4 linked regions of the Alligator mississippiensis genome follow. The protein of the gene in region 4 purifies or fractionates together with the protein of the main gene of each other region. This does not show direct contact. Links are inferred from orthologs where the notes say so. Each region holds a gene or a part of one and is shown on either strand. Other genes may lie near its edges.

Evidence for each region.
Region 1: the proteins of RIPK1 (region 4) and MAP3K7 purify together in Homo sapiens (affinity purification with western blotting; 5 studies listed by BioGRID, with this or other methods). This does not show direct contact. The link is inferred for Alligator mississippiensis from reciprocal best matches to the Homo sapiens genes RIPK1 and MAP3K7.
Region 2: the proteins of RIPK1 (region 4) and TAB1 purify together in Homo sapiens (affinity purification with mass spectrometry; 3 studies listed by BioGRID and IntAct, with this or other methods). This does not show direct contact. The link is inferred for Alligator mississippiensis from reciprocal best matches to the Homo sapiens genes RIPK1 and TAB1.
Region 3: the proteins of RIPK1 (region 4) and RNF216 purify together in Homo sapiens (affinity purification with western blotting; 3 studies listed by BioGRID). This does not show direct contact. The link is inferred for Alligator mississippiensis from reciprocal best matches to the Homo sapiens genes RIPK1 and RNF216.

Annotation. Positions count from the first base shown.
Region 1 is NC_081824.1:77,998,325-78,005,684, reverse strand, and holds the start of MAP3K7 (mitogen-activated protein kinase kinase kinase 7), read left to right. Parts: upstream 1-4,349; 5' UTR 4,350-4,712; coding exon 4,713-4,802; intron 4,803-6,657; coding exon 6,658-6,747; intron 6,748-7,360. UniProt on the Homo sapiens protein: Serine/threonine kinase which acts as an essential component of the MAP kinase signal transduction pathway. Plays an important role in the cascades of cellular responses evoked by changes in the environment.
Region 2 is NC_081827.1:99,038,695-99,045,913, forward strand, and holds the start of TAB1 (TGF-beta-activated kinase 1 and MAP3K7-binding protein 1), read right to left. Parts: upstream 3,022-7,219; 5' UTR 2,663-3,021; coding exon 2,513-2,662; intron 2,331-2,512; coding exon 2,194-2,330; intron 2,064-2,193; coding exon 1,910-2,063; intron 1,242-1,909; coding exon 1,155-1,241; intron 316-1,154; coding exon 177-315; intron 1-176. UniProt on the Homo sapiens protein: Key adapter protein that plays an essential role in JNK and NF-kappa-B activation and proinflammatory cytokines production in response to stimulation with TLRs and cytokines.
Region 3 is NC_081836.1:53,437,149-53,444,658, reverse strand, and holds the start of RNF216 (E3 ubiquitin-protein ligase RNF216), read left to right. Parts: upstream 1-4,501; 5' UTR 4,502-4,552; coding exon 4,553-4,592; intron 4,593-7,510.
Region 4 is NC_081826.1:121,050,070-121,056,926, reverse strand, and holds the start of RIPK1 (receptor-interacting serine/threonine-protein kinase 1), read right to left. Parts: upstream 3,001-6,857; 5' UTR 2,846-3,000; intron 2,633-2,845; exon of another isoform or gene 2,367-2,632; intron 1,994-2,366; exon of another isoform or gene 1,934-1,993; intron 1-1,933. UniProt on the Homo sapiens protein: Serine-threonine kinase which is a key regulator of TNF-mediated apoptosis, necroptosis and inflammatory pathways.

The sequences.
Region 1 (7,360 bases), on a different chromosome or scaffold from region 4:
TGAATTTTTACTAGACAGTCTCTGGTTACAAAGCAGACGTATCTCTGGTAGGAGGGGACCCAAATGGCATAGTTGTCCACAGCAAAACATGGAATTGAACTTTGGTTTCCTGAGTTCTAAGCTACTGCCCTAACCAGGAGAATATCCTTCCTCTCAAAGCACCCCAAGTGTGATGGGTGCAGATGAAAACCTATAGGCTCAATGATTTTTTTTTAATTACTTTAGTAAGCTTTCTTTCTCTCTTTGCATGCCGTTATATGTAAGAAATATTTGAAATCCTTTTGCTTAGTAGTATACAAGTGATACTAAGCCCTCAAAGTTAACATAGTACTAATTAAAAGTTGTGTCAGTCAAAAAAAAAGAAATGAATAACTTAAATTATACCATCGTTTAAGACTTATCTTCACAATGGTGACAGATTTTGATAAGGATTGTGATTTTGCTTTTGCAAACAGAGAGCTTGTTATTATTGTGATACATATTTCTACAGCCATTTCTGAAAGCAAGTGAACCTTACAAACAACTATAATTGGAATTCTCTCCTTTGTGTTCCTTGCTCTCATCAACAAAAAATAAAGGTAGCATGACTGTAGAAGAAAAACAGGGCAAAAATATACTTGGCAGCAACTGGAATTTGCTTGATATGTATTCTCAAAAGAGGCCTTTGAGTCATGAAACAAGCCAAACCTTCCATTAATCTTACTATTATCTCATTTTCTCAATATCCCACAAACCCATGTTCTAGCTTGTGAACAAAATGAATATCACTACTGTATAATGTTCATAGGACATTATATGCAGGAAGACTCACTCCTCAGATTCAGTTAGCCTTAGAAATTAAATATAACGTAAATGGCTTTATGCAGTAAGCCAGAACTGTGGAAGGAAATGTGTTTTTGAAATATGTGTTTTCAAAAACAACAAAAGGTGTCTAGGGAGTAGCCTTACAGTTTCTGGAAAGGAGAAATATTCCAAAATAGACATTTTACTAAACAATAAATTGTGATTAATTGATAAGATTGCTACTGGCTTGGATTAATCAGAGGGAGCAGTGTTTAGGGCTTAAAATAATATAACAGGGTAATCTAAATATGCTTCTTGTAATCAGAATGGGTTGAAAAAGGCAACTATTGGCCCATTTGTTTTGTAGGGGAGGGTTGCATTTGTTTCTATTTTTGGCTAAATTTTCATCTCTTTAAATTATGTTATGAAATGCAGTTGTTATTCCAATGTCATCTGAGTGTCTTGTGCCAATATAGAAGATCAGATAAAAAACAATGGAGACATAGGTCCAAGAAAGTAAAACCATGCCATGGAACAAAGCAACAGATCTAGAGACAGAATTTGAGAACTGATCAACATGTTGGCTCTTCTGAAGAGCTAGCCATCAATCTCATGATGGGAACCAGTAGGTACTGGGCTCCTTTAAAAATCTGGCCTCAAGTATGAGTATCGAACACTTAAAACACTATTCTCTTCTGCTCTCATAGCAATGTGAAGTGGTACAGAGTAGAAAAATTAAACAGCTGTGTCAACAATCTGTACAACACTGATAAAAATTGCTATGGAAAGGAATATATATTTTTAGTGTATTTAAAAGCCTTTTGATATATTTTAAAAGAATCTGGAAATAGGTATACAGGCAGCCCTCCCTCGACTTACAATGTTTCAAGTTACAATGTTTCACACTTACAACATTTATAAATTGACACTGTTTCAACTTTCTGATGCCAGTTTTGACTTTACAACGCTTGACCTGATGTGACGCCATGACAGTGAACAAGTCGCTGTGTCACCCATCTCCCTGGAGAACATCTGTCCAAACTTCCTTGGACGCTTTCTTTAAGAAAGCAGACAAGGCTCCAGAAAAACCTGCAGGCAAGACTCCTGAAAAGACTCCAGCCAAGAACCCTTCAAAAAGTCCAACAAAGTCACCTCAGAGAAGTCCTTCCAAATCAATATGTTGCTATTTACAATATAAATACATTAATGTAGCTGTGCTACTCATCTATAATTGATCGAATACAAAATTCTGGGTTATTTTTGGTGAAAATAAGGTACCAGGCCTTGGTTCAGGAACCAATCCCCTATTTATAACATTGTTTCTTATGAGAAAATTGGTTCTGAGTTACGTTTCGACTTAAGACGCCGTTTTCAGGAACCAATTATGTTGTAAGTCTGAGAACTACCTGTATATTGAACTTGTTATGATTTTCATAAGAACGAGATTTTGTTAATAGTTGTTATCCAAAAAGAGTGGTCCATGCTTTGAGTACCTCACAATCTAAAGCCCTTTCCAAGCTAACATGGACTAATGGTTAAGACCACACTCCTGAACACCATACAGTGGTAATCACCTAAACACAACCCTCTTTTGTTATATGGACTGCAAGTGATTAATTCCAGCTGCTTTTTACAAACTCTAGAGTTGATATTAGGGGCTAGTGCAGCCAAGAAAGGGTAGATGTGGGATCACCAGCTTTTACTTTGTCTCTCCCACCCCAGAGAAAAGAAAAAAAAGCCGGTAGAGGGCCTGATATACCACTGTGTTACTCTAGGTTTATGCTGGTAAAAATCCATTGATTTCACTGGCGTTAATCTAGAATAATATGGCAGTGGTAGTTTCCTTTAAAATGTAATAATAGAATCTTCTAATGAAATCAGAAAATAAGTAATGCAATCAGCACATTAGCCCTTGTGTTAGTTATTTTGATATTGAATTCCCCACGCAGCATTTTGGGATGGGATAACATATTTGTTGTTTGATCAATAGTGACATTTAAACTGTCATCTTCAATTTCAGAGCTAACACCCCATTAGTGTGAGTGAGAACAGCCAACTTTCCCGAACTAATCTTTTAGGCTATTTGCCGACCCAGCAGAGTGATATTATCTGTAACACGTGGTTCACATTTCAAGGTTTCTTTATAATCATATGACCATTAAAGTTAAAAATATTAGAAGACAGGCAGATACTAGGACATAAGGAAGAAAATATGACTTAAAGAAAGCAATCCCTTATTGCCAGCAGATTTAAGAAGGGGGAAGAGTATGGTCACACACATCTGAGTATGCTACCTTTATATCCATAGGTAGATATATCTATCTAAGATTTAAGGAGGGAGGGGTTGAGTGTATGTATGTAGACACACATAGGAATGCACTTCCTTACATCTCTAGCTAGGGAGTTATTTCTATCTATAGATTTAACAGAGGTATGTTTATATAGACACACATACATGTACATTTCCTTACATCTATAGATAGATATTTCTATCTATAGATGTGTGTGTGCGTGTGCCTGTGTGTGCAGACATGCACATTCGAGTATATTTCCCTACATCTATAGATACATATTTCTATCAACAGATCTATAAAGGCTGTGTGTATCTGTCTGGACACGCATCTGAGTATACTTCCTTACATCTATAGATACAGCGAGAGATATTTCTAGCTACAGATCTAAGGGCTGTGTGTGTGTCTGTCTGGATGCACATCTGGGTACACTTCCTTACGTCTACAGATAGATAGATATTTCCTTCTATGTATCTAAGGGGGGGGTATTTAAGGGCGTATGTATCTAAGGGTATGTGTATGTGTTTCTATCTATAGATCAAAGGAGGGGGCGGGGGGGGGGAGGGGGGCATGTAGACACATCCCAGTACACTTACTTATATCTCAGGCTAGAGAGATACTTCTATCTATATATTTAAGGGGGGGTGCAGACATGCACAGCCAGGTATACTTCCTTACATCTACAGATAGATATTTCTATCTACAGACCTCTCAGGGTGTGTGCTTCTACCTATAGATCTAAGGGGGTGTGTGTGTGTGTTTACTTCTAGCTATAGAGCTAAGGCGGGGGGGGGGGGTTAAACACCTCCCAGTACACTTCCTTCCATCTCAGGCTAGAGAGATACTTCCTATCTATAGATTTAAGGGGGGGGGGGGGTGCAGAGACGCACATCCCAGTGCACTTCCTTACATCTACAAATAGATTTACAGATAGAAGAGTGTGTGTGTGTGTGTGTGTGCAAACACACACATCCCGATACACTTCCTTCCATCTCAGGCTATAGAGCCACGTCTATCTGTAGCCGTCGGGAGAAGGCGCGGGGAGCCGCGCACATCTGAGGGCGCTCCCTAACCTCTGCAGACAGCTGTGTCTCTCCGTAGGGCTCAAGGGGGTACGAGTGGGGGAGGGGGAGCCTAGAGCCGGCCTTGCTGTGGCGGGACCTTCCTCCCGCCTCCCTGCGGACCAGGGCCAGCGCGGGGCGGGCGGGGCATCCTCGGCGCCTGCCTCAGCTCGGGCGGCGGCGGCTCCCCCTGGCGGCCCGGCCCCGGCAGGAGGAGGAGGAGGAGGTACCAGGCGCTGCGCGGGGCTCCCGGGCCGAGCGCGGGGGAGGAGGAGGCGGCGCCGCCAGGCCATGGCCCCGCTCCGGCGGCCTTAGCGGCAGCTGCCGAGTGCCCCCCTCCCGGCTCTGAGCGGCGCCTTCCCGCCTCAGCCCCGCCGGGGCTGGCGGAGGCGGCGAGCCCCGGCCCCGCCACTCGCTCCGCCGGGGCCTCGCAGGCAACGCGAGCCGCAGGCCCCGGGCGCGGCCTAGGCCGGCGGAGCGCAGCGGGCGCCCGCCAGCGCCTCGGATGCGGCCGCCTCCGCCAGCCCCGGCCCGGCCCCGCTGAGCCCGCGCCGCCCCGGCCCGGCCCGGCCCCGGCATGTCTGCGGCCGCCTCGGCGGACATGATCGAGACCCCCCCGGTGCTCAACTTCGAGGAGATCGACTACAAGGAGATGACCGTGGAGGAGGTGCGGGCCGGGCCGGGTGCGGGGCCCGCGGGGAAGGGGCGGCCTCCAGCTTTCGCCCCTCTGGGCGAGAGGGAGCGGGTTGGGGAGAGCCTGAGGGCCGGAGCAGGCAGGTGGCAAGGTGTGCGGCCTAAATGCCCTGGTGGGGGGCTGGGGGAGAAGTGGAGTAAAGGAGGAGGACACCCCAAGTGAGACAGGCCTGTGCCAGGCCCCTGGACAGCCCTCCCGTTCCCGGGGATAGGGTGGACTTCATTAGATTCCCACAAGTTCCCCAAAAAGAGCAATTCTCAACCAGGGAGACCAATGGGCAATGCACTGAGCCCTGGCTTTCAGCCTCTTTTCACTTGTGGACCCCTAAAAAATTTCGAATGGAGGTGCAGAGCCCCGCAGTTTTAAGTGGGGGTATTCAGACACTTTTGATAGATCGTAGTGCTCATTCACCAACCTGTTAGACATAAGTCTGTAGACCGCCAGTTGTCCATGGACCACAGGTTGAAAACCGCTGTCCTATCTGTGTGTGAGAGATATGTGAGTATATGCTATATGGAGTATACAGGTTTCCTTCGCTTTATGGAGGTTCTGTATGTGTGAATTCGCTCTTACACGATGACCCTTTTTATACCAAAAATTCATTATATGCAAGGTAAATTCACTCTTATGCAATTGGTGTGGTGGAAGTCTGCAGTCAGCTGCTTTGCAGTGCATTGTGGGAGTGACGCACACCAAAATATAGTCTTTTATGTGGATCAGTGCTCTTCGCTCGTTGTCTGCGACAGGTGTCTCTGTAGTTGCCATCCCCGTTATGGTAACATTCACCACCACCCTGTGCTTGTGTGTACTGTCTGCTGTTGGTGAGTACCACAGTTGTCTTGTAAAAGTGGTAGAAATGGGTCTGAGGGTCAGTACAGTCTAGGTCTTGGAACGTATCCCTATCTGTTACATTGTATGCGTAATCAAGTTACGTGCCGTTTTCCAGGAATGCATGTACAGCATAAAGCGAAGGAAACCTGTGGTAGTGTGTACAGCATGCATACACCATACATTATGTGCATTTGGGCTGTAAATACTGATTAAAGAAAATATCCGTTTAACCTGTTGTAATTACAACAGTTACATGATTACTTGGTATGGCAACCCCCAGGCTGCTTGTGGACAGCAGTGGGGTGCGGGGGTTAGGGGGGGACTAGTACCTAGTAGCTAAGCTCCACGGACCTCAGTACACTGGCTTGCAACCTCCTTGCTGCCTGCCGCAAACAGCTCGGGCTCTTAGATAGGCAGCAGGGGCCTGTCCAGAGCCTGGGCTGCTTGTGGCAGACAGTGGGGAGGCTGCAAGCAGCTGCAATTGGGGTCCGCAGAGCGTAGCTGTAGATACTCTGTAGATACTGTATCTGTAGATACTCTGTAGAGCTGTGCGTCTCTCACTGGGGTTGTAGAGAGACAGCAGCAAGGCGCCAGACTTCCATGCGTAGACCCTGAGATGGTGCAGAGTCACTTGGAAGAACTGGATGCCTTTAAGTCGGCAAGCCCGGATGAGCTCCATCCGAGGGTGCTGAAGGCACTGGCCGACATCATTGCAGAGCCACTGGCGGGAATATTCGAACGCTCGTGGCGCACGGGCCAGGTCCCGGAGGACTGGAAAAGGGCCAACGTGGTCCCCATTTTTAAAAAGGGGAGGAAGGAGGACCTGGGCAACTATAGACCAGTCAGTCTCACCTCCATCCTTGGCAAAGTCTTTGAAAAAATTATCAAGGCTCACATTTGTGAGAGCCCGGCAGGAAAAATTATGCTGAGGGGAAACCAGCACGGGTTCATGGCAAGCAGATCGTGCCTGACCAATCTAGTCTCTTTCTATGACCAGGTTACGAGACGCCTGGACACAGGAGGAGGGGTGGATGTCGTATACTTAGACTTCAGGAAGGCCTTCGATACGGTATCCTACCCCATACTGGTGAGCAAGTTAAGAGGCTGTGACGTGGATGACTACACTGTCCGGTGGGTGGCGAATTGGCTAGAGGGTTGCACCCAGAGAGTCGTGGTGGATGGGTCGGTCTCGACCTGGAAGGGTGTGGGCAGTGGGGTCCTGCAGGGCTCTGTCCTTGGACCGATACTCTTTAATGTCTTCATCAGTGACTTGGACGAGGGAGTGAAATGTACTCTGTCCAAGTTTGCAGATGACACAAAGCTATGGGGAGATGTGGACACGCCAGAGGGCAGGGAACAGCTGCAAGCAGACCTGGACAGGTTGAACACGTGGGCAGAAAACAACAGAATGCAGTTCAACAAGGAGAAATGCAAAGTGCTGCACCTAGGGAGGAAAAATGTCCAGCACACCTACAGCCTAGGGAATGACCTGCTGGGTGGCACGGAAGTGGAAAGGGATCTTGGAGTCCTAGTGGACTCCAAGATGAACATGAGTCGGCAGTGTGACGAAGCCATCAAAAAAGCCAATGGCACTTTATCGTGCATCAGCAGATGCATGACGAATAGGTCCAAGGAGGTGATACTTCCCCTCTATCAGGCACTGGTCAGACCGCAGTTGGAGTACTGCGTGCAATTTTGGG
Region 2 (7,219 bases), on a different chromosome or scaffold from region 4:
CAACCAGCTTCAGTACCACTTTGATGCTAGTGGCCCCCACAAGGAATGATAAGTGCGTTTTCCAACCTGCATAAGCCAATTCAATTTCCCACTACGGTCAAGTTTTAACCGGCTGCCCTATGGCTGTAACTGCCCTCAGATATGCCAAGATGAAAAGCTGAGAAAGAGGCACACACCTACATTGGCGATGTAGAGCTTGTTGTTGAGAATGACTGCCACAATAGCCATGGCTCCTCCAGAGATTTCCCGCTCTACGGCCTTAAGCCTTTCCACAATCTTCTGGTACTGAGAAGGTAGCTGGTGCTGGGGCACCCCCTAGAACCCAGGATTACAGGGAAACTTAAACACACAATCCATTGCCACAGAAATCACAGCTGGATACCAAGCTCTTCAGGGCAGGGAAGGTCTTTGCCACTGCATCTGGTGCAAAGCTAAGGCTTAAAGCACTGACAAGTACTGGCCAGATTTCACTGATCTTGGGAGACAAACATTCTAATTCTCTGCAGAATAGGAACAGTGATGGTACAGAAGCCAATCAAATGGCCATATCCTGATCCCTGCCTCATCCTGAAGGGGCATCAACTGCAGTGAGTTCAGTCTCCATAACCCATCCAGCTCTTTGCTCTCACTACTAAGACTGCTGCAAACAGGTACAAGGAGTGCCAATGGTGATGGTAGGTTATACAAAGTAGAAAGTTTGAGATTAAGACCTGCCCACTTCACACAAGCCACCAAAGGATCACTATGGTAGGTGACACCTCTGTCACAGCTTCCCTGGGGGCAAACCAAGGCTACTGACCTAGAGACAAGAGGCTCCACATCTTAATCAGCAATGTTAAGGGAACTGGGGAAGGGAAACAAAGTGGCACAGCAATGGAGGTATCTTGCTCTGGCTCCAGAGCCGAAAGTTTGAACCTGGCTACAGATTTGTGCTGAGGGCCAGCTTGATTCACCCTAGCCAAGTACAGGTATCTGAGTGTTTGGGGTGCAGATGACTGGAGAGGCTGCTAGGCCACACTATGCCCTGGCAACAGAAATCAATATGCTTTAACCATGCTAGCTGTATGGGCCATTAGCCTCAGGAAGACCTCTGACTTTTTTCTAACTGAATTTTGGGGGCTTGGGGACACATTTTCTCAGTACTATCACATTACCTCTGGCAGCTGGGACTGCAAGCTGGCCTTCTCTGCCAAAGCATCATCAATGGACTCCAGGAAACTTCTTTCTACCACATCAAAAGCCTGAGAACGGATACAAGAAAGTAACACAAGACTGGATAACAGCAGCTGCCTTGCAAACACAGCAACACAACATCTGTTTCCCCTTCATCCTGAAAAAAGAGATCACATTACTCAGCAAACTATAAAAGTGTTTAGATTTATCTCCTTGGGGATCAGCCCACCTCCCCTGGAAATGCAATCGCCCTAGTGCAACTAGATAAGAGTAGCTGAAATACAACCCTGTGCAACTGTGAAGGACAGGAAGTGAAGAAAAAGATATACAAATTCTATTCAGAGGAAACGAGACACATCTGTCACACCTCAAAAGGCAGCTACCGTTACTCCAGGAAGTGAGTTAATAAGTCCATTTCCCCATGTTCCCTCATCATCATCTCAATGTAAACCCCTTCTTCAATTAACATGTCCCTGCATCCAAGAAAGAAAGAATCCAACTTTCTGCAGTGCTGTCAACGCTGCATTACTGGAGCTAGAAGGGCAGATGGGGCTAAACAGGAGAAGAATGAAATGCTACTGCTCCTTGTCCTCAAGGTAGGCACACTCTCAGCTCCTGGCAGGCCTCCCCAACCTTCTCCTCATCCTGCTAAGGATCAGGGCATTCTTCTCCTTGTGGCAAAGAGAGAGTGTTAATGCAGGGGGAGGCACAGTCTCTGCAGCCACAACCCCATTACCTGCAGCAGGACTCGGTACACATCAGCGTCACTGTGATCCGTGTGGAGCTGGCCCAGCAGCAGTTCTGCAGAGAGCCTCTGGCCCACAAAGTTGGTGACTCGGTTGCCATCGTAGCCATTGAAGACCCCATAGAGGTAACAGCTGTTCTCACCCCTGTCAGAGAAGATCGAGGCACGGGGGTTAAAGGTGCATGTGGAGTACAGAGACCCTGCCCCCTCCCCACCCCACCCCTCTGTGGAAACCAGCCAAGCGCCACCACTGGCCTGGGGTGCTGGCGACTCACCGGAACTTCAGCCAGTTGTCTTCCCAGGGGTGCCCCTCAGTGCTCTTGCCATCTGCGCCATAGGACCGGTTGGGAGCAGAGCCCACTCCAGAGAGCTGGCAGAGGGGCAGGTCATCTGTCCAGCTTGTCTGCTGCTCCTGGGAACAGAGCCAGGGAAGGGAATGGGGAATCAGAGGGAAGTATGGAGGATGCTTCAGAGGTCAATTAGTCCAACTCCTTGCCTGAACGATCTAATTCCTCTCCAAACCATCCCAGGCAAATCCACTGTCTAAAGCAAAGCTAGTCAACCCTGCAATAACACCAGACACAGCACTCTGACCTGCCACAGGGAAAGCAGGGGCACCATGGCAGCCAGCATCCTGCTGCTGAAAAGATTGTTAATATATGCTCGAGAGATCCCAGGAAGAGAGCCATGCCTCCTGCTACAAAGGGAGACAAAAACCCGCAGAGTTCCTACCAATCTGACCATGGAGGAAAATGCCTTCCCAACCCCAGATATGGCGATCGGTCTGACCCTGAGCAGAGGGACAAGATCCTCTAGCCAGGAACCTCTGCGTTCAAGCGCCAGCAGTAGTCCTGGCACAGCCTAGTCGCCATCCCCAGCTGTGGCTGCTGCCAATGCCCCACACCTTTGAGAAAGGTGAAAAAACCCTGAAACCCCGGGGGGAAAAAATCTCCCCCCTGGCTCCATGGGGGAACCAGATAATGGGGAACTAGGGCTGGGGGATGCTTGGGACCTGCCACTGCCTGCCCATGCCATCAAGGTCCCAGGCACTGCAGCCACCCTGCCAGTGACCTTGCAGCCCTCCCTGCCACAGGGGCACAAGCCACACCCTAGGGCAGACACCTGCCCTCATGGCATTGCCCCCATGATCCGCCTCCCCGCCAGGACTCCAGGCCAACCTGGGGGCAGCCCCGCCCCTAGCCAGGGGGCGGGGCCACACAAGAACACCGCGGGCCATGCCCCGCCCACAAAAGAACGCCGGGCTCCACCCCCTCGAACTGGCAGCGCGCCTGGCGTAACCTCACGTCACGTACAGCCCCACCCCCAAGCCCGTGCGCTGCGCCCCCCTCTGCCCCGGCCCGGCCCGGCTGCAGACCGCCGGTGGGTGAGGAAGGGGCCCCCGCCCGCCGCGATGGGGGGACAGGGAAGACGTGGGGCGGGGTAGAGTTCCCGCCCCGGCGCTCACACTGTGCAGCAGGCTCCTCCTCTGCGCCGCCATCTTGGAGCGGGAGCCGCGCTGCAGCCTCGCCCGGGCGGCGCCAAGAGCAGCCGCTGCCGGCCGTGCCCTGCCCACCGCGCGCAGCTTCCCCTAGCGGCTGCAGGGGGAGGAGAGGGGCGGGGCGTGGCGCGTAGGGCGCCCGCCCCGCCCTTAACGGGTGGGGCCTGCGCGGGTCGTGGGTGCGGCGGTAGGGTGTGTGCTCGTCCTGCGGTGCGGCGGGGCAGGGGCGCCCCCTGCTGGGTGGAGCTTGTTGCCCAGGAGGGCAGCCACAGTGTGAGCATATGCTGCCCTAACACCCCGTGCCTCCCCACACACTTGCCCCTGCTCCGCTGCTCTCACAGAAGGGACACGAGGGCGTGTGCCCGGCCCCCACTTGCCCCAGCCCCCCACGACTGGCACGTGCGCACCCATCCCACCTGCCCCCAGGCTCCAGGGGGAGGGGGAAGCTTGTAGGCTGGCTTGAGGCAGATGCCTGAGCCTGCAAAGAGCCTGTGACAGGAGCCAGGAGGGGTGGGAGCTGCCCCATGCCCCTCCATGACGGGCCTTGGCCTATGGGTGCTGCCCCTTGGAGCAGATACAGCCCCCGCTGCAAGGAGCGTGGGGGACCTCTTCATGAGGATGGTGTCTGCCTCTGTGGTGGGCGGGGAGGGAGGGAGGGAAACTGCTGGTACTACCCAGGCCTTTGCCTATGCAGAAGGGGGCACCTTGCTACCACCCCTCCAAGTGAGGCAGGAAGGGCCGCGGGGTGGGGTGCACAGTGGGCCCGGCGCACCAAGGCTCTCCTCAGTCAGATCTAAAAGGGAGGGCCTCTTCTATCTAAACTCAAGACGCCAGGCCTCAAACATGTTCATAGCCCCTTTATGGCACAGGAGCACCCATATCCTCACTGCTTGTGATTCCCTGGGCCTTTGTGGTTCCACACTGCCATTCTTTGCAGTCACCAGTATGTGGTGGACTCAGCCCTAAGTCCAGTAATGGAAAGGGGTGACAGTGGCATAACTAGGGCGGGGTGAACAGGTCAATAGCCTCAGGTGCTGACTTGGAGAAGGGCAAAAAAAAGCAGCAGCTCCTGCAGTCACAGTTGTGATCTCAATGGCAACTGCAAGTCACTGCTGCCTCTGTACCCTGGGTGCCCGGCTGCATCTCTACGCTACCGGGGCTGTAGAACAGCCCATAGGTGACTATCTGCCAAAAATGGGAACAGCCCTTGGTGTAGTTCTGATTTACACCAAGGACTGATAGCCATTGAACCAGTTCAGAATTCAGGATTCACAGAGGTGGCACAAAGCCACCTGCATTCAACCCGTTCCCTCTCCTCCTGGGTTGCGCTTGCTGAGAGACGCAGCTTGGAACCTGGACGGTAGATGCTGAATTCAGTGAAGTTACTCGGGATTCTCTTATTCTTGAGAATTTGAGCTGACCCACAGGCAGGGCTGGTTCTATCAAAGGACTCCAACGAGTGAATTTACATTGAGACGTTCCAAGCGTTTGTAAAATGATATAACATAATATAATTAAAAGCAGATCACTGATTCTCATCTCTCTCGAGAATATTTTTGTGGCATCGTAGGCTAGTCTAGCCTATTTCAGGGACAATAGTTTCAGTGTCCCCTGCTCCCATCACTGCCACAAATGGGGAAAGGCTAAATAATTCCACCCCTTATATTAAAAGCTAGCCAAAGAACTCTCCAGCATTGTGACTGGTGTGCCCTGATGTGCATGACGGCTGGCATAAGGGATGCTACAGCACTGGAAGGTTCAGGGCGTGGCGTATTTCCCCATGTAAATTGGGGAACATAAGCAGGATCCAACTAGAAATGTTTCTCACCTGGAACAGCGCATTGCTGGTCAAAGTGGAACCTTTCCAGCAGCTTTGGCCCATTGGGAGTCATTTAGTATTTCTTTAATAACATTTTGTAGGAAAAGTCTTAGGTTCAGAGACGTGAAATTCTGTTTTAAGAATAATAATTAACCTCATTTCTTTGAGGGATCTCTGTGGAATATTGGCCGGATGATTCCAACTCTTTCTCTGTAAATCTCCTGGATGGTGTCTGACTGCAACTCCTCTCAAATATGTGAAGAGTTTAGGCCATTCTCTTTCATCTGGAGTACAAGAAATTTCAGTAATCCAAATGGTAACAGATAGTGTCACAAATTCTGTAGGTCTGTAGCTAGAGGTCCCAGGTCTGAAGGCAGTATACATGTGTATTGGTTGATGTACAAGCTGAGATCCAGTGATGCCATTTAGACTGCTCATATGCATAAAGTTTTGTGTATGTATACACATGGACAGGTTTGAGGCCTAAATTTGTGTGAGCATGTGCACGTACACACAACTGGAAAAAAAACTGGATCTCATAGAAACAAGGCAGCACTTTATCAACAATCTTATTTTTAAATAACATTTCTCTGGAGTTACAAATGTGCTTGTGGGGCTGCCCTTTTCAATGGGGCTTATATTAAAAAAGAAAACCATGGCAGATCTCTTTTTTAAAAAACAGCTGCACTGCAACCATCCTTTTTTTTTTTTACATATTGATGGTAATCTGACAATGTCTAAGGTTGCAAGTCTACAACATGGACAGATTGTTGCTTGCTCCCTGGAAATCTATGAAATCCTATATCGCCATAGAGATCTTTTGGTCTGTATCACATGGCAGGACTGGGATGTAGGGGTAAACTATGCTTTCCAATATACACGTAAAGTTCCTGCTGAGGTTAATAGGAGTTGTGTGGTAAGTTGTACTCAGGCATGTGAGAAGATCACTGCCGCTATGGCAAAACCCCTGCTGTGGATGCAGCCCAGTCAGCAATGCCATTAAAGCAACAAAAGCCCCCATAAATGTACATAATCTCAGTGATGCAGGGAATCATTTCCAGTCCTCTGTGCTTTGTTTCTCCAGTGTTGATACTGATTTAACATCAGTTCGTTTTAACTAAAGCACAATGTGTTTCACTAGAGCCTGTCTTCCAGAAAAACACTCATCCATGATATGAAAACATCAGAGCTGAGACATCCATCACCTCCCATTGCAGTTTCTTCCAGTGATCAATCACCTCCACTGCCACACAAAATTGTTCCTCCTTTTTGTTATACTGTTACTTGCTAGACAGACAAGCCTCTTGGCTCCCTATGTTTTCTCCTTGGGATGCTATGCCTTTTTCCCCTTTCATAACTCTTTTAGTAACAAAACTCAGGATACTTTTCATCCCCCTTGCTTTATACAGACCTTAAAATTGTGACTGGTATATAACCAGTGTCTGCTGTTTGCTGGGTGAATCTTCATTCTTGTTGCATTTTCTGTATGTACATGGTAGTAATCAGTAACATGCCTTATGGCCCAAATGGCCTGGCTCACTCTGGTGTCAACATATACTTCAGGAGTACCCATAACTTTCCCTTTAGATGGACGTGTGTTCCTCTGACATTATGCAAGGCTTATTTCTTGAAAGCCACTCCCTGGATCCATTAATGAATGTTAATGGAGCACTCCCCAGTTACCAACTCATTAGTGGCCCTTGTCCCTTCTTCTTGCCATCTTTCTTTGCTGGAGTCCAGCTGCCCGGCAGGAGCTGGACTAGACTCTATTTTGTTCTGCTACTGATTCACTGTGCAATTTTGAACAAGTCACTTGACAACTTCCCATCTACAAAGTGGGAACCATAAGAATTATTTACTTTCCCAGGAGCATATGTGGGAATGAATGGAAGCTAGTGCAGCAGTTCAAGATCCTCAGGTGAAATGCACTACCGACACCACACTATTATGCCAAAAATAATGCTTTATATAGACCAACAGCTTT
Region 3 (7,510 bases), on a different chromosome or scaffold from region 4:
GCCTGCGCACCCTTCCCATGGAGCCTGGGGCACGAGCGGGGATGAAGCCTGGGGTGGGGGCAGGTCTCAAGGCAGGAATGGGGCCTGAAGTACTCGAGCAAAACGTGCATTGCTGGAGACCCATTGCTTCCTCCATTTCACTGATTAACTGTGCCAGACAAACAGCCAGAGCATGCCCCTCTGAGTGGGGGCACAGGCAGGGGACACAGGCTGCCCCCCAGGGCAGGAGCGAGAGCAGTCCCGCAGGGGAGGACAGACCCTGCATGGCGCCAGCACTGCCCCCGGCACACTGGCTACCCCAAAGGGTGCGGGGGCAAGGGAGAACCATGCCTCAGTCCCCCCTGCCCCCTCCACAGCGGGCAGGTGCCATATTCTGCACTGGCTGGGAGGTGGCAGATCCGCTCTTCCAGCTGACGCTCCCTTGGGGACCCCAGCAGGAACCGTCCCGGACTCGGACAGACTTGTTCTGGGGACGCCTTGTGCAGTATGCTCCATCTGTTCCCCTCCAGGGCGCCTCTGGCTGTGATAGCCAGCATTTAGCCCTCCCTAATTCATAAACACACTCATGCTGCTCATTAATACTTAATTGACCAAAGGGATTTTCAGGAGAGATCCCAGTTCAGCTCAGCTTCTACCAGAGACATTTCCGATGGAATCTGGGTGAGAAGAAACGAATGTGCGAAACTCCCGCAGGAGACAACGACTGCTTTGGGCACAATTAGTTGCTCATCCCCGGATGCAGGGAGCTGCACCGACCCCTCCATATGGTGTACAGGTACAATTTCCACATCACATGATTTACAGGCGGGGGGGGGAATAGGGTTTTTCCAGCTTCTTGAAGTTCCTCTTTTAAGAAAAAAATCTGTTTACTAAGATGGCAGATCCCAGCAGAAGAAAAGTTCAGTTCCCAAGGAGCTGGTTCTGTAGATGGCAGCGGACACAACGATATTTCCTGCCCCTGCTGCAAAGTGGGATGAATGTTTTTAAATCCTCTAACTTCACCGCACAGCTTGGCGCTAGCTGCCAGTCGGGGTGGAGACAAGCGCTTAGGGAAAGGGGTGGTCTTTTCAAGGGTGGGTCTTACCACTGAAGGGTGGACTTGGACCTGCAGGTCCCATCGCTCAGCTCTGGAGCTTTAAGGCTAAAAGTCAGTAAATCAGCCAACCTTCGCAGGAGCGCTGGGAAAGAGTTCTCAACCTTCGCTTTCTTCCCCTCATCTGAAGAGGTTTTAGCACAGAGGGGGTTTGACTGCTCAGCCTCCAACCTGTCTTTCGCTGCATCAACTGTCCATGGCAATGTTGCATTCAGATTAGGCTTCCTCCTATAATCATTTTGCAGTTTAAAATTCAGTTTTGTTATTTATCTGCTCCCTGCTCCTTGTATTTGGAATAAGTCCAGCCCAGGTACTGGCTTCTAATTTCCATTTGCCAAAACCTTGTTTTTTTGCACTGGAATTTTAATCATTTTCCAGCTGATTGCTGTGTGATCCACCTACCAGATTTGCGGCTGCCCTTAGCTCCATCAGAAGTATCCTACCTGTGCTTGCTGCATTGTGTCTAGACAGGGACTTGCTCCTTACACCACGTGCGTCACAACCTTATGTGTTTGGTTTCTGCATCACTCTTTGGTCTTGTACCTAAAGCAGATGCAAGTGACTTGTCTGACGGGATACAGTTCTCTGATTGGGGCTCATAGGTGGTGTAGGGATACAAAACATCCTCCAAATAATAATCCTATATTCAAGAATTGTGTAGATCTATTTCCCCTTCTTCTCCCCAGATGCATCTTCATTGCATTCAAAGCTGGTGTCTACATGGGGAACCCTTTTAAAGCGGTGCTTGCTGGTGGGTTGTGCCTGGTATTAAATCCTGATTAGAAGCTCTTTGCTGTGTGATTCAGCTTTTTGCTTTGACATGCTGATGATCTGCATGCGTTTCCTTCCAAAAGCGCTGCTGCAGCTGGCTGTATTTATAGAAAGCCGTTTCTGACTTTGGACTAGGGGGTTGTGGAGTGTGTTGATTTAAGCAGCTGTGTTGACTTTTATCTGCTTACCGCACATGCAAGGTCTGGGACACAAAGTGATCCCAAGCAGAAAACCTGCCAACGAGATGTCTGCTGTGGTTGGAGCTGGCACTGATCGAGGACCTTGATCCTTCTGTCATTATTTTAGATCCCAGAAATATGATTCTGCGCTGCTTTACACCTGATATTCATACCAGAAGGAGTCCAAAGTGGAGTAAAAGCAGCTTCTCTGCTTTCTATTGCTTAAGACCACTTCTGTGTTTAATCAGAGGCAGGATGGAGCTGCGTGGTTTCACTGGTGGATTTGCCTTGTGAAAACTAATTAAAAAAAGGAACAAGACCTTTTCTGTTCTTTTCTTTTTTGTCATGTGAAGTGACCATCCTCAACTGGGTGCTGGAGCGCTCATACCCTGCTGCTCTGTGGCACACAATATTGTTTAAAGCGCTCTTCTACAGAGGTACACATGGTCTTCACAGGGCAGGCATCTGGGCCAGCCCCTGTCTGTATGGATGCTGGAAGGCAGGGTAGGTTTGCACCTCACAAGTTAAACAAAATAAATAGATATATCTACTTGGATCGATATCAATATAGATCTACTTGTACAGATATAACTCTGTGTGTGTATTCACACACACACATATATAGTATACTTGGATAGCAAAAGTATACAGTGCATTTGGATGGATAGCTACACGTGGATAGGTTACTTGGATAGATATAAATAGATCTTATCTAGACATGTATATGTATATTTATATCCATACAAGTAGAAATATAGCTTTCCTTTGGTTAGTCTGTCAGGTGCAAATCTACCCGGCCTTCTACTTGCCTCCAGGCTAACTCTTGTCTTCATGCGTGGTTGAGGCAAGGAACCCAGGAATCATCTGATGGCATTCGATATGGAGAAATGCAAGGTGCTCCACCTCAGGGGGTGGGTGGGGGAACCCACATCACGCTTACAGGCTCAGCCGTGCTGCACACGTTAGCACCACGACCGAAAGAGAATTGGGGGTCTTGACTGACCACAAGATGAACATGAGCCACCAATGCAATACTGTGGCCGGCAAAGCAAACAAAACTCGGGCTTGCATCCATAGATGCTTCTCAAGCAAGACCCAGAAAGTTGTCCTCCTGCTTTACTTGGCCCTGGCGAGGTCGCAGCTGGAGTACTACATCCAGTGCTGGGCTCCACAGCTCAGGAAGGACATGGAGAAGCTTGAGAGGGTGCAGAGGAGAGCCACGCGCACAATCAAAGGGCAGGAGAACAGGCCTTACAAGGAGAGGCTGTGAGCCATGGGACTCTTCAGCCTGGAGAAGCGCAGGCTCAGGAATGACTTGGTGGCTGCCTATAGGTACGTGAGGGGTGTGCATCGGGATCTGGGGGAACGCCTGTTTGCTAGAGCACCCCAAGGGATGACAAAGTCCAACGGTCACAAACTCCTCCAAGACCGTTTCAGGCTGGACATAAAGAAAAACTTCTTTACTGTCCAAGTCTCAAAGGCTTGGAACAGACTCCCTCCAGAAGCGCAGGCATCTACTCTGGACACTTTCAAGAAACATCTGGATGTCTGTCATGCTAGGATCCTGTGACCCCAGCTGACTTCCTGCCCCTGGGGCAGGGGGCTGGACCCGATGATCTTACCAGGTCCCTTCCAGCCCGAATGCCTATGAAATGTGTATTCAAGCACGAGCAGGGCCTCTGCTCACTAGGGGTGACATCCACCCCGCATGCAAAGGGCTGGCAGGGCATGAGGCCAACCTCCCTCTTCCATCTCGGGCGAGAGCAGGGACGCGGGTCGGCCCTTGGCCGAGGGGGCGTCCGGGTGCTCTTGCCTCCTTTGTAGCCCCTGTGCCACAGCGGGGTCTGCCGGCGCTCGCGGCTTCCTCCGTCCTGCTGTTACGAGCTGCAGGCTCTCGCCTGGGGCAGCACCAGTCAGGCCAGGCCTGGCCAGGCAGCCCCGACAGCTGCCCCGGGGCGCGGGGCTGGAGGGGGCAGCTGGGCACGGCGGGACCATCGGGCAGGAGGGAGTGCTGGCCCCGAGGTCCCGGCCTCTCCCAGCTGCTTTCCCCCCCTGTGGGAGTCTGTCTCATGGTTCACCCACTGCACACACTTGTCTGCGTACACGTGCGCACATTTGTGCACACGCACGTCCACATACATGCAAGCACACTTGTCCACGTACACGCATGCACATACGTGCGTGTGCGCGCATGCTTGCACCCGTGCACGCAGATCCACGCGCGCACACGTGCAAGATATGCACGCACACGTGGGTGCACACACGCATGCGCACACTTTGCTCAGGGTGGGGGGCGGGGTCGAGGCCCTGGCGGCCCGAGCGGGGGGCGGGGCGGGGCGGGGCGGGGGCAGGCGCCGCTGGCGGACCGCCCCGTGCCGTCTCTATGGTGCGGCGCGCGGGGACGGGCTGCGCTGCCGGCCCGTCCGTCCCGCCCTCCCCGTCTCGCTGGTCGGCGGGTCACGTGGGCGCGGCGAGGCGCAGGCCGGAAGCTCCCGGCCGCGGCGGCTCCATGGAGCGGGGCCCGGGCGGGGCGGCCCCAAGGCGGCCCGGTGAGTACCGCCGCCCCGCCCCGCCCGGCCCGGCCCGGCCCGGCCCGGCCCGGCTCGGCTTCAGTTTCCCTGTGCGGGGGGGTGGGGGCCGGCTCCGCCCCTGGCTGGGCTGGCTTGACAGGCCGGGACCCCCGGGCCCGAGGGGGAGGCCGGCCGGGGGGGAGCCTCGCACACACAGGGCCTGACACACGGGGGGGGCACGCCTGGCGGTGATCCTTGCACAGACAAGATATGACACACCTGGGAGGGGGTGGACAGCTGGGGTGACCCTCGCACGCACAGGGGTGACACACCTGGGGAGGGCACGCCTGGCAGTGCTCCTTGCACAGACACGGTCTGACACACCTGGGGAGGGCACGCCTGGTAGTGCTCCTTGCACAGACAGGGTCTGGCACACCTGGGGAGGGCACGCCTGGGGATGAGCCTTGCACAGACACGGTCTGACACACCTGGGGAGGGCACTCCTGGCAGTGGTCCTTGCACAGACAGGGTCTGGCACACCTGGGGAGGGCACGCCTGGGGATGAGCCTTGCACAGACACGGTCTGACACACCTGGGGAGGGCACGCCTGGCAGTGGTCCTTGCACAGACAGGGTCTGGGACACCTGGGGAGGGCACGCCTGGCAGTGCTCCTTGCACAGACAGGGTCTGGCACACCTGGGGGGGGTGCACAGCTGGGGTGACCCTCGCACACACACAGGTGACACCTGTGGAGGGCACATCTGGCAGTGGTCCTTGCACAGACGGGGTGTGACACACCGGGGGGGGCATGCCTGGGAATGATCCTTGCATAGACAGGGCATGACACACCTGGGGGGGCACGCCTGGTTGTGACCGTCACACCGGCAGGGTCTGACACACCTGGGGGGGCACGCCTGGGTGTGACCCTCGCACAGACAGGGCCTGACACGGCCGCACGTGCCAGTGGCCGTTCCCAGGGGCTCCCCCGAGTGGTGACTGGCGAGCAGGCTGCGCCAGGTGGGGCTTTTCCATCCCCTTCTTCGGCAAGAGGTGTCCGCACTGCCCGGGCATCCTGGGGGTCCGCGCCGCAGCGGGACTCGCTCCTTGTCTGGCTAGTTTGTGACTAGACGGACGCCTGTGCTCAGAGACCCTCAATCTGCACCGGTTGTCAGTGCAGGTACCGGCTCCGCGCCGAGGGAGATGGCAAAGGGCGGCGCATTAGTATACGCCGCACACCAGCGCCTCCCTGCCCCGGAGCACAGGGAGAGCAACCTGGGTTTGATCTTCGGGAAAACTTTGCTGGCTGCTGTCTCCGGAGCGACGAGGGTTGTGGAAACGTGATGGGAGCAGACAGGGCTGAGGTTTCAGACAAAGCCGGTGCCGGGCGATGGTGTTTCGAGGCTCTGTTTGTAAAGCTAGTGAGACCCTCAGGTTGTGAGCTGTTGGAGTTGAGATTTGCAACTCATTTCCAGGCAGAACTAGGGAGAACAGTTGTCAAAAACACACGGCCTGGCACACGGGAGCGCAGCGGCTGCTCTGTGGTGCAAGCTTTCCAGCACTGTCCTCCTTCCTGGGGTGTTTTGCACAGTGCTGGAGAGACGGCCTGGGCGTCTCTGGAAAGTGGCCTGCTGAGAGTGTGCGACTTGCTGCGAGCTCTCTCTATCCGTTGTGGGGGCGAGTTTCAAAGGCGCAGTGGCAATTAGATACCTAATTAGCACTGGTGCCTTTGAAAATACTTCTTACTGACTTGGTTGCTTTCCAGTTGTATCCAGTACAAGGCTGAAGGCCACATAGTTGCAACTAGATACGGATTGGTTTGACAGTGGCTATGGGACAAATGCGATACAAGTAAATAAAAGTTCCTTTTCTCTTCAGTTTTCTCATTTAGTCAGTGAGAAGTAGGCAAGATCGTAACATTTTTAATGAAGTTTTATGTCTTAGCCATCAGTTCAAAAACTATGGGTGATGTTTACATAAGAACGAGTAGGGTGACTGTAGGTAATCCTCTAGCATGGGCAGTGTACAATGCAGCAGGGATATCACTTAATGTCTGTGACTTTTACAAGGGCCTTTGCAAACAGGTGGGGAGCAGTAAAAGACAGGTGTGCTTCTGTGGACCTTTCAGCTACAGCTCCAAGTAGCAGCGATGGCTGTCTGTCTGGTTGGCACAAAGACTTTAGCATTAAGTCTGGCCAAAAGAAATGAACAACTTCTAGAGCTGCATCATGTCTGTCTTTTATTTTTCAAAGGCGTCACAAAAGAGGATGTTCTTAGATCTCTCCCACTCAAATGCTCTTGCTTTTGCCCTGTGGCTGTAGAAGCTGTAGATGTAGCTCTGGAGAAGGTGCGCCCCAGTGGTGAAAGCAGAACAGGGAAGGTGGTATGTCCCTATTCAGTCGCGTGGCTGGTGTTTTAGCCACGCTCTTCCCCCTGCTCCCTAGATTCTCAGGTTGGTTAATGGGAACAGAAGGGAGTCCTGCTTTACTGGTTCGCGTCTTAGCAGGTGTTGCTTAAACACCTTTTTACAAACCTGGGAGGGTGTAGTGCTGGCCGGAGGGCAGGATCCTTGTTCTGATTTGCAGTGGCGCCTTCGAAGGAACTATTTTTGCTGTACAAATTCCGTCTCTAGTCCTGCGGCTCTGCCAAATTCCAGTTAGTTCAGCGGGACTTTCCATATTGAACGATAAACATCTTGATAGGTTTCATGTGCTGGGTGTCTGCATAGTGAGACCAGACATTAATAAACACTCCTGTTTGTCAGGCGTATACATGGCTGGACTACAAACCTGGGGCATTTCAGACCTGTGTCTAGAGGAAGAACTGGAATGGTTTTGTTCAGGCCATACTGCATAGCAGTGCGTGGCCTCACCTGCGTCAGCTTGCTTTCCTCGGACAGCTGCAGAGGTCAGAGTGCAAATTGGTGTTTTTAGAAGGGCACGAGGGAGCACAAGGTGTGT
Region 4 (6,857 bases):
AAATATAGACATTGGATTTATGACACATTATAACCTGTCTAACATCTCCCCAGGTAACCTCTCTACCACCTTACCAGCTATATTCAACCCACTTCCCTCCCCCCCCCCCCCCCCCCCCCCCCCCGCCCTTGACTGCCTCAATTTACATTTTCACTGACTGGCTTTCTCACTTGCATGCTGGCTTCTGGCTTTTTTTACTGTTCCATCCAGGAAGAGCACAGACCAACTGCAGATGTTTCCTCAGCCTGATGAATGGTATTTCTACCTAAAAGCGTGCAAAAAAGATTTTTTCCAACTATTTGGGTTGGTCTAATAAAATATATTGATTTACCCAAAGAACCTTGTTTGCCTGTGCCTTCCAGTGAGGAACTCATAGAAAGAATCATAGAAAATTAGGGCTGGAAGGGATCTCAGGAGGTTATCTACTGCAGTGGTTCTCAATCTTTTTTGTACCAGGACCCATTTGTAAACACTGGCCAGTCCCAACTCAGTACCCCTCACTCCCAATCCACTGCCCCCTGGCTCCATGCCCCAGCCCCCCAGTGTGTGGGGCAGAGGGTGCCCCAAGCAGTCCCTCTCAGGCTGGCAGAAGCAAGGGAAAACCCATGGTTTCCCACATTTTTCTCCTTTTAAAGGAGAATCATTTTTTAAAGTTTGCTTGTGACCCGTCCATATATTCTTCCAACCCACTTTTGGGTTGCAACCTACAGGTTGAGAAATGCTGATCTAGTGAGTACAACCCCCTGCTCAAAGCAGGGCCATCACCAACTATCTCATCTGAGCCAAGGCTTTGTTGAGCCAGGCCTTAAACCCTTGAAGGATGGACTACATGGTCTCCTGAGGTCCCTTCCAACCCTAATTTTCTATGATCTAACTGGTTGCTTTTCATCCAAACCACCTCTGGGTAACCTGTTCCAGTGAGAGAGCTTTTCCTAATATCTCACCTCCATTTCTCTTGCTGCCACTTGATACCATTGCTCCTTATCCTGTCATCTGCCCCACCCCTGAGACAAGTCCAGTTCCATCCTTTTGGGAGCCCCCCCTCAAGGAGTGAAAAGCTGCTGCCAACTCCCCCCCCCTTCTTGGCTAGGGACAAAAGTTGCACATCAGCCAGTTTAAATGATCAGAAACTGGTTTAAACCTGTAACAGAACAGAAGTTCAGTGCACATAAACCAGTTTCAAAATGGCTGAAACTGATCTAAGATAAACCTGATTGAATGTAGTATCAGACTTTAACTGATTGAGGTCAAATTGGTTTACGGAGCTTCTGTCCCAGACCCTTTCCTGGTTTAAGCTAAACCAGAGTCCCCCAGCATGCTCTGCAGCCCTGGGCTGGGCTGTGTTGTCTGCTCCAGAAAGCAGGGTGCCCTGTCACTGCTCTCTAGCTGGAGCAGGGGCAGGGCTGTGGCCAGAGGCCTGCCCAGCATGGAGTGAAGGAGACAGGGAGAGGGTTTATTTCTCCCCTCCCTCCCCTCTCCCACTGGGGGACCCTCTGCCAGCCCTGGCAACTGTCTGCTGGTTGCCCTTGACCAGGCAGACCCTGGAGGGAGGGGGAATGGCAGGTGTAATAAATTCCCTTCCTGCTGCCTTTGCCTCGGGGGGCCACCATGCTCAGCTGGCATCTAGTTAGTGGCCAGGGTCTGGCCATGTTCCCCAGCCCCCCAAAAGCCTGGCAAAGGCTGCTTCCAGCCTCCAGGTACATCCCAGCTCGGGTCCCTGCAGGTCAGCCTGGTGGTTTAAACCCCTCTCCAAACATACTCAGGCCACCCCCTCATCTCGGCACCATGAAAGGGAAGGGAGGGCTTGCTCTAGCCCCCCCACCCCACCAGGCTTCTAGCCTGAGCCACTGCAGGCCTGTGCCTGCATGTCTGGGATCAAAAGTGAACGTCTATCTACTTGCTTGGCGGATCAAGCTCTGCAGGCTAGACTAACCTGCAAAGACTGAATCCATTCAGGCTCGGGCTTCTTGGATGGCTGTCCCCAGCTCCAGACTCAATCAGCCCAGTTCCCTCTGCCTCTCCTCACCCCCGTGCCCCAACCCCAGCCCCCTCCCCCCCTCCTTTGCCCAGGGGGCAGCGGCGGCGGCGGCGGCAGCAGCAGGGCACCCCCCCTCCCCTCAGGCGGCGGGGCCCCGTGGGGTGGCGCCAGGCCCGGGCGGGGAGGTCCTCGCGGCCAGGCAGGGGCAGCGGGGCGCACTTCGCAGCCGGGACCGAGGGGAGGGCGCTGGGCGACGTGGAGGCGCCGCTTTCGCTTTTGCTTGCAGCGATCGGGAAGTCCGCCCCGCCAAGGCCAAGGCCAAGGCGGACCCGCGCGGGCACACGGGGCAGCCTGCTCTCCCGCGCCGCGCGGGCCGGGGGCGTCTTACCCTCGTGTCCCCGCTCCAGCGCCGGGAGAGCCAAGCCCAGCCGAGGCGAGGCCTGCGGTGCCCCCGCCGCCAGTCTCCGCCAGTCGGGCCGCGGGGAGGAGCCGCCCAGGAACAGGGCCGGGCTCGCCCCGCGGGGAAGTCCGGCTGCCGGCAGGCGGGAGGAGGAGGAGGGCTCCGGGCGGCACCCCGGGGGGCCCTGGCACCCCTGCAGGGGTGTCGCGCAGAGGCCGCGCTGCTGGCTTTGCAGCCGCCGTGCACAGATAGACCCAGGGCTTTCAAACGGGAATCTGTAGTGTCAACAGCAATCTCACCCCTTCTGGGCTGCCTTGCAGAAGACTTGTTTATCTGTAGTTAAAAAACACACACGCGTGTGAAAGCTAGGAGCTAGCATTTTTTCCAGGGGCACCTTGAGTCTAAGACAGGTTGAGAGCCACCACCTTGGAGATTAACAGACTCTAAGGTGCTGGCCCCTGTCCTACCTTTTGGCTGAGATCAAGTGTAGCCTGGAGATCTTCAAAAGGAGACTTGGACGCAGACCTTGCTATGGTTATTTGACCCCAGCTGTCTTTCCTGCCCACAGCAGGATGGCTCCTTCCAGCCCTAAACTTCTGTGAATTGGTGCAATACCTGCCTTCAGACTAACAGGGAAGTGGCCTCTCTGAATCCCACGGGGAGGAGTTATCTCCGGAGCATGTTACTCAGCATGTGAGCAGTGATTCTCTGGCAGGAAGTTGTGGCAGCCCTGAGGCCTTGAGGTCCTTCCAAAGGTGCTGCGCAGTGGGAGCACTGTTGGGTTTGCAGCCACCATTTGCAGATAAAACCCAGGCTTTCAAGCAGGAATCTGTAGTATCAAAAGCATTCCCCCCCTTCTGGGCTGAGTTGCTTGCAACAGAAGAATTGGTCTTACTGTTTTTCTGTAGTTATAAAAACCACAAGTAAAAGCTAGAAGCAGGCATTTTCCTGGAGGCGCCTTGAGTCTAAAAAGGTTGAGCATCACTGTTTTGGAGGTTAACAGACCTTTCCTGCCTGTTGGCTGAGATCAAGTGTAATACCTGCCTTCAGACTAACAGGGAAGTGGCCTCTCTGAATCCCACAGGGAGGAGTTATCTCTACAGCATGTTACTGGACATCTAAAACGGGGTAGGCAAATCCTAGCACAGGTGCCAGAGTGTGGCCCACCAAGGCATTTTGCTTGGCATGCACATCTTGGGGCAGGCAGCAAGAAAGGGGCCAGGGCTGCACTGCCACAATGAGGATTGGGCCCCTTGCGGCACACCCCCCCCCCGCCATCTGCCTCTGGCACACCAACATCTTACAAACTGAGTTTGCTGGTGTTCTTGACAGTCCAATAACATTGCTGACTCGGATCTAGAGCCGTGATTTTCAGGCAGGGAGCCGTGGTGCCCTGGGGGAAACCTTGAGATCCTCTCAAGGGTGCCCTGGGCTGTCAGGTAGGCCTGTGTGATCAATTAAATATCTATAACTTTGTTGTTTTGCCTCTGATTTGGGTGAAACTTGCAGGGGTGGTGGCCCCTGCTGAGGCCACAAAGTCTGCCAAGTTTCAAGAAGATAGGTGCAGGGGTTTGGGAGGAACTACACTTCAAGCTGCTGACAGGCAAAACTCATGACATAGATGACCCACTGTGTGTTAAGGTGCAGTGGGCTGAAAACTGCAGGGGTGGTGGCCCTTGCTGAGGCCACAAAGCCTGCCAGCTGTGTGTGTGTCTCGCTGGGGGAGTCTGTCTTCTGGGGCCCTGCACCTCAAGCTGCTGGCAGGCAAAACTTGTGATGTGGGTGGGTGACACGGTGGGTGTGTGTTAAGGTGTGCCCTTCCTGGCGCTGGGGCCACTGCACAATATGGCAGTGTGCCCCAGTGTGGCCTCCTCCTCCCCTACAGCCTCACGGCCAGTCCACCACTTTGTGACAACAGGTACAGTAACTTAGCTGGCTCAACATCAGTAGCAGCAGCAGCAGCAGCATCAAAGGTACCCAAATGGAACTGTCACAGAGCCTTTCTTTTTATAAAGGAATTGACAGCAACAAGTAAAGATGTTGTGTTGGACATATGATGTTACTCATAGTGTGTGATGGCTTATCTTGTGTTTTTATGTCTATATGTGTATTATGAAAAAAAAAGGAGTACTTAAAAAAAATGTATCTTTGGAAGCTTTAGGGTTGAAAACCCCTTTGTCAGGCTGAGGAAGTACCTGCAGTTGGTCCTGGATGGAAGGAATAGTAAAGAAGCCAGAGGCTGGCCTGGCCCACAATGCAGACAAGAAAGCCAGTCAGTGAAAATGGAAATGGAAGCATCAGGGGGTGGGGGACAGGCTGGGGTGGGGGGTAGTGGGGAAAGGGGGATGCACTGTAATTTGTTCCCTCTCAGGATCAGAGATCATTTGTACATTCAAACAAGCACCTACCTTCATCACCAGAACTGAAGCCAACTTCCTACAGCTCAAAACACAAAACCTGCCAACTATCTCCAGTACCCCCACAAACTGCACACCAGAATCTATCAAAGACAACAAAACCCAACTACTTGTGGGGGCACATTCCTCACCAGAAAAACACTCTGCCTCCAGTCTCTCAGGCCTGATCCTGAGAGGGAACAAATTACAATGCAAACCACTTTTCAGAGCTGGTCCTATGAACTGCACTTCATCAGCCTCCTAGGTAGTAGGTACACAAACTAATGGACTCAATATAGACAGTGGAGTTCTGGCACACTGCAACCTGCCAGACATCTGACACCCCAGGCACCTCTGCACTTTTACGTGTGCTGCTACATCCCCCTTTCCCCGCTACCCCCCACCCTAGCCTGTCCCTCACCCCCTGACGCCTCTATTTCCATTTTCACTGTCTGGCTTTCTTGTCTGCATTGTGGGCCAGGCCAGCCTCTGGCTTTTTTACTATTCCTTCCATCCAGGACCAACTGCAGGTACTTCCTCAGCCTGACAAAGGGGTTTTTCAACCCTAAAGCTGGCATCCCGGGCAGCTAAGCTGAGCTCACCAGGAGCCTCACAACTGCACTGGAACCAGCAAGCGTCAGGTTTGTCAAAGATATGACAGGTCTGGGCATTCCCTAGCCAGGAAATTGTGCATGTGTGGGTTACCTGGAGGTTATAGCACCTCCTACCCGCCTTGCACCAGGGGCTCGTTTGTCCTGGCATTTACAGGGCTGCTGCGCTGCCAGCAGTCCCACCAGGCCTCCCTACCCTGGCAGGGTGCAGTTTTAGTGGTCATGCCCAGGACCTGGGGCCTCCTCCTTCCCCATAGCCCCTATCCCATACCTCCAAGTTCATCCTGGCAGGGGAATGAGCTCAGCAGGGACATGTTCTTCCCCTGCTGGCTGGTGATGCAGTTAGTGTCCCTTCCAGCTGAGAGCGGGGCACTACTCAGCTTTTAAAAAACTCAGAAAAGGAAATTGGTGCAGATGGAGTGAAGAGGGTGGCACTCAGTCCATCTGCAGGTGGAGCTTGGAGAACCCCAGCAGTGGGAGGTTCACCTTTAGGAACACCAGCTGTTCCACCAAAGCAGGATCCAAGCAGGTGCGGTGGGGTGTCACAACATCCCCAGCAATGCTGAACACCCTCTCACTTGGAACACTGGTTGGTGGACAGGACAACCGGGCAACTGTGGCCAGATCCTGCCACATCTGGCTGTGGTTTGCCCAGTAGGCCAAGGGGTCACAGTCCAGTGGCTCCACATCCTCAGCAAGATAGGTAGCCACAGAAGCCTCCACGCTACCTGCCCGAGGCTGGGGCCTGGTGCATTTGGATCCCAGCATTGAAGCCATGCCCATGGTCCACATTGGCAGTGGCTGGCGTGGAGGAGACTGGCTGGTGCTGGTGCTGGCATGGGAAAGTGGGTCCCCCTCTTCCACATCTCCTTGCCTCTGCACTTCAGCTTCCCTGACTTTGTTGACTAGCACCTGCATCCAGTGATCAAGGGTTTTGGGGCTGCCAGTGCACATGCTCCCCTTTACCCTCGGGTTACACATGCCCGCCATCATGTGGACTGTACTGGACCTCAAGGGATCCAGCCGTCTCCTGATGCCCTCCTTCAGCCATCTCACTAGTGCCTGCATGTCTGGTAACAGTGGCCTGCCCCAGCCAGCAACATTGATCCCCTGGAACTTCTCCATTTGGTTCTCCAGTTCCCTCACTAGGGGGATCACCTGGCTAAGGAGGGCATTGCCAGTGCTAAGGGTCTTGGTGGCCTCGAGGAAGGGCTTGAGAACCACCAAGATCTGGGAGATGATACCCCACTCAGCTCTGTTCAGGGGGCCGCTGATCCTAATTTCCCCAAGCAAGGCCATCTCATGGATGGCCTTCTGTTACTCCACCAGCTTTTCCAGCATCAGGTATCTGGAGTTCCACCGAGTCTCCACATCCTGAATGATTTTGTTCTGAGGGATGCTCAGCTCTGCCTGTTTCTCTCACAGCATCTTTCCCCCCTTGATGCTGCAGTGGAAGTAGCTTGCCACCTTCC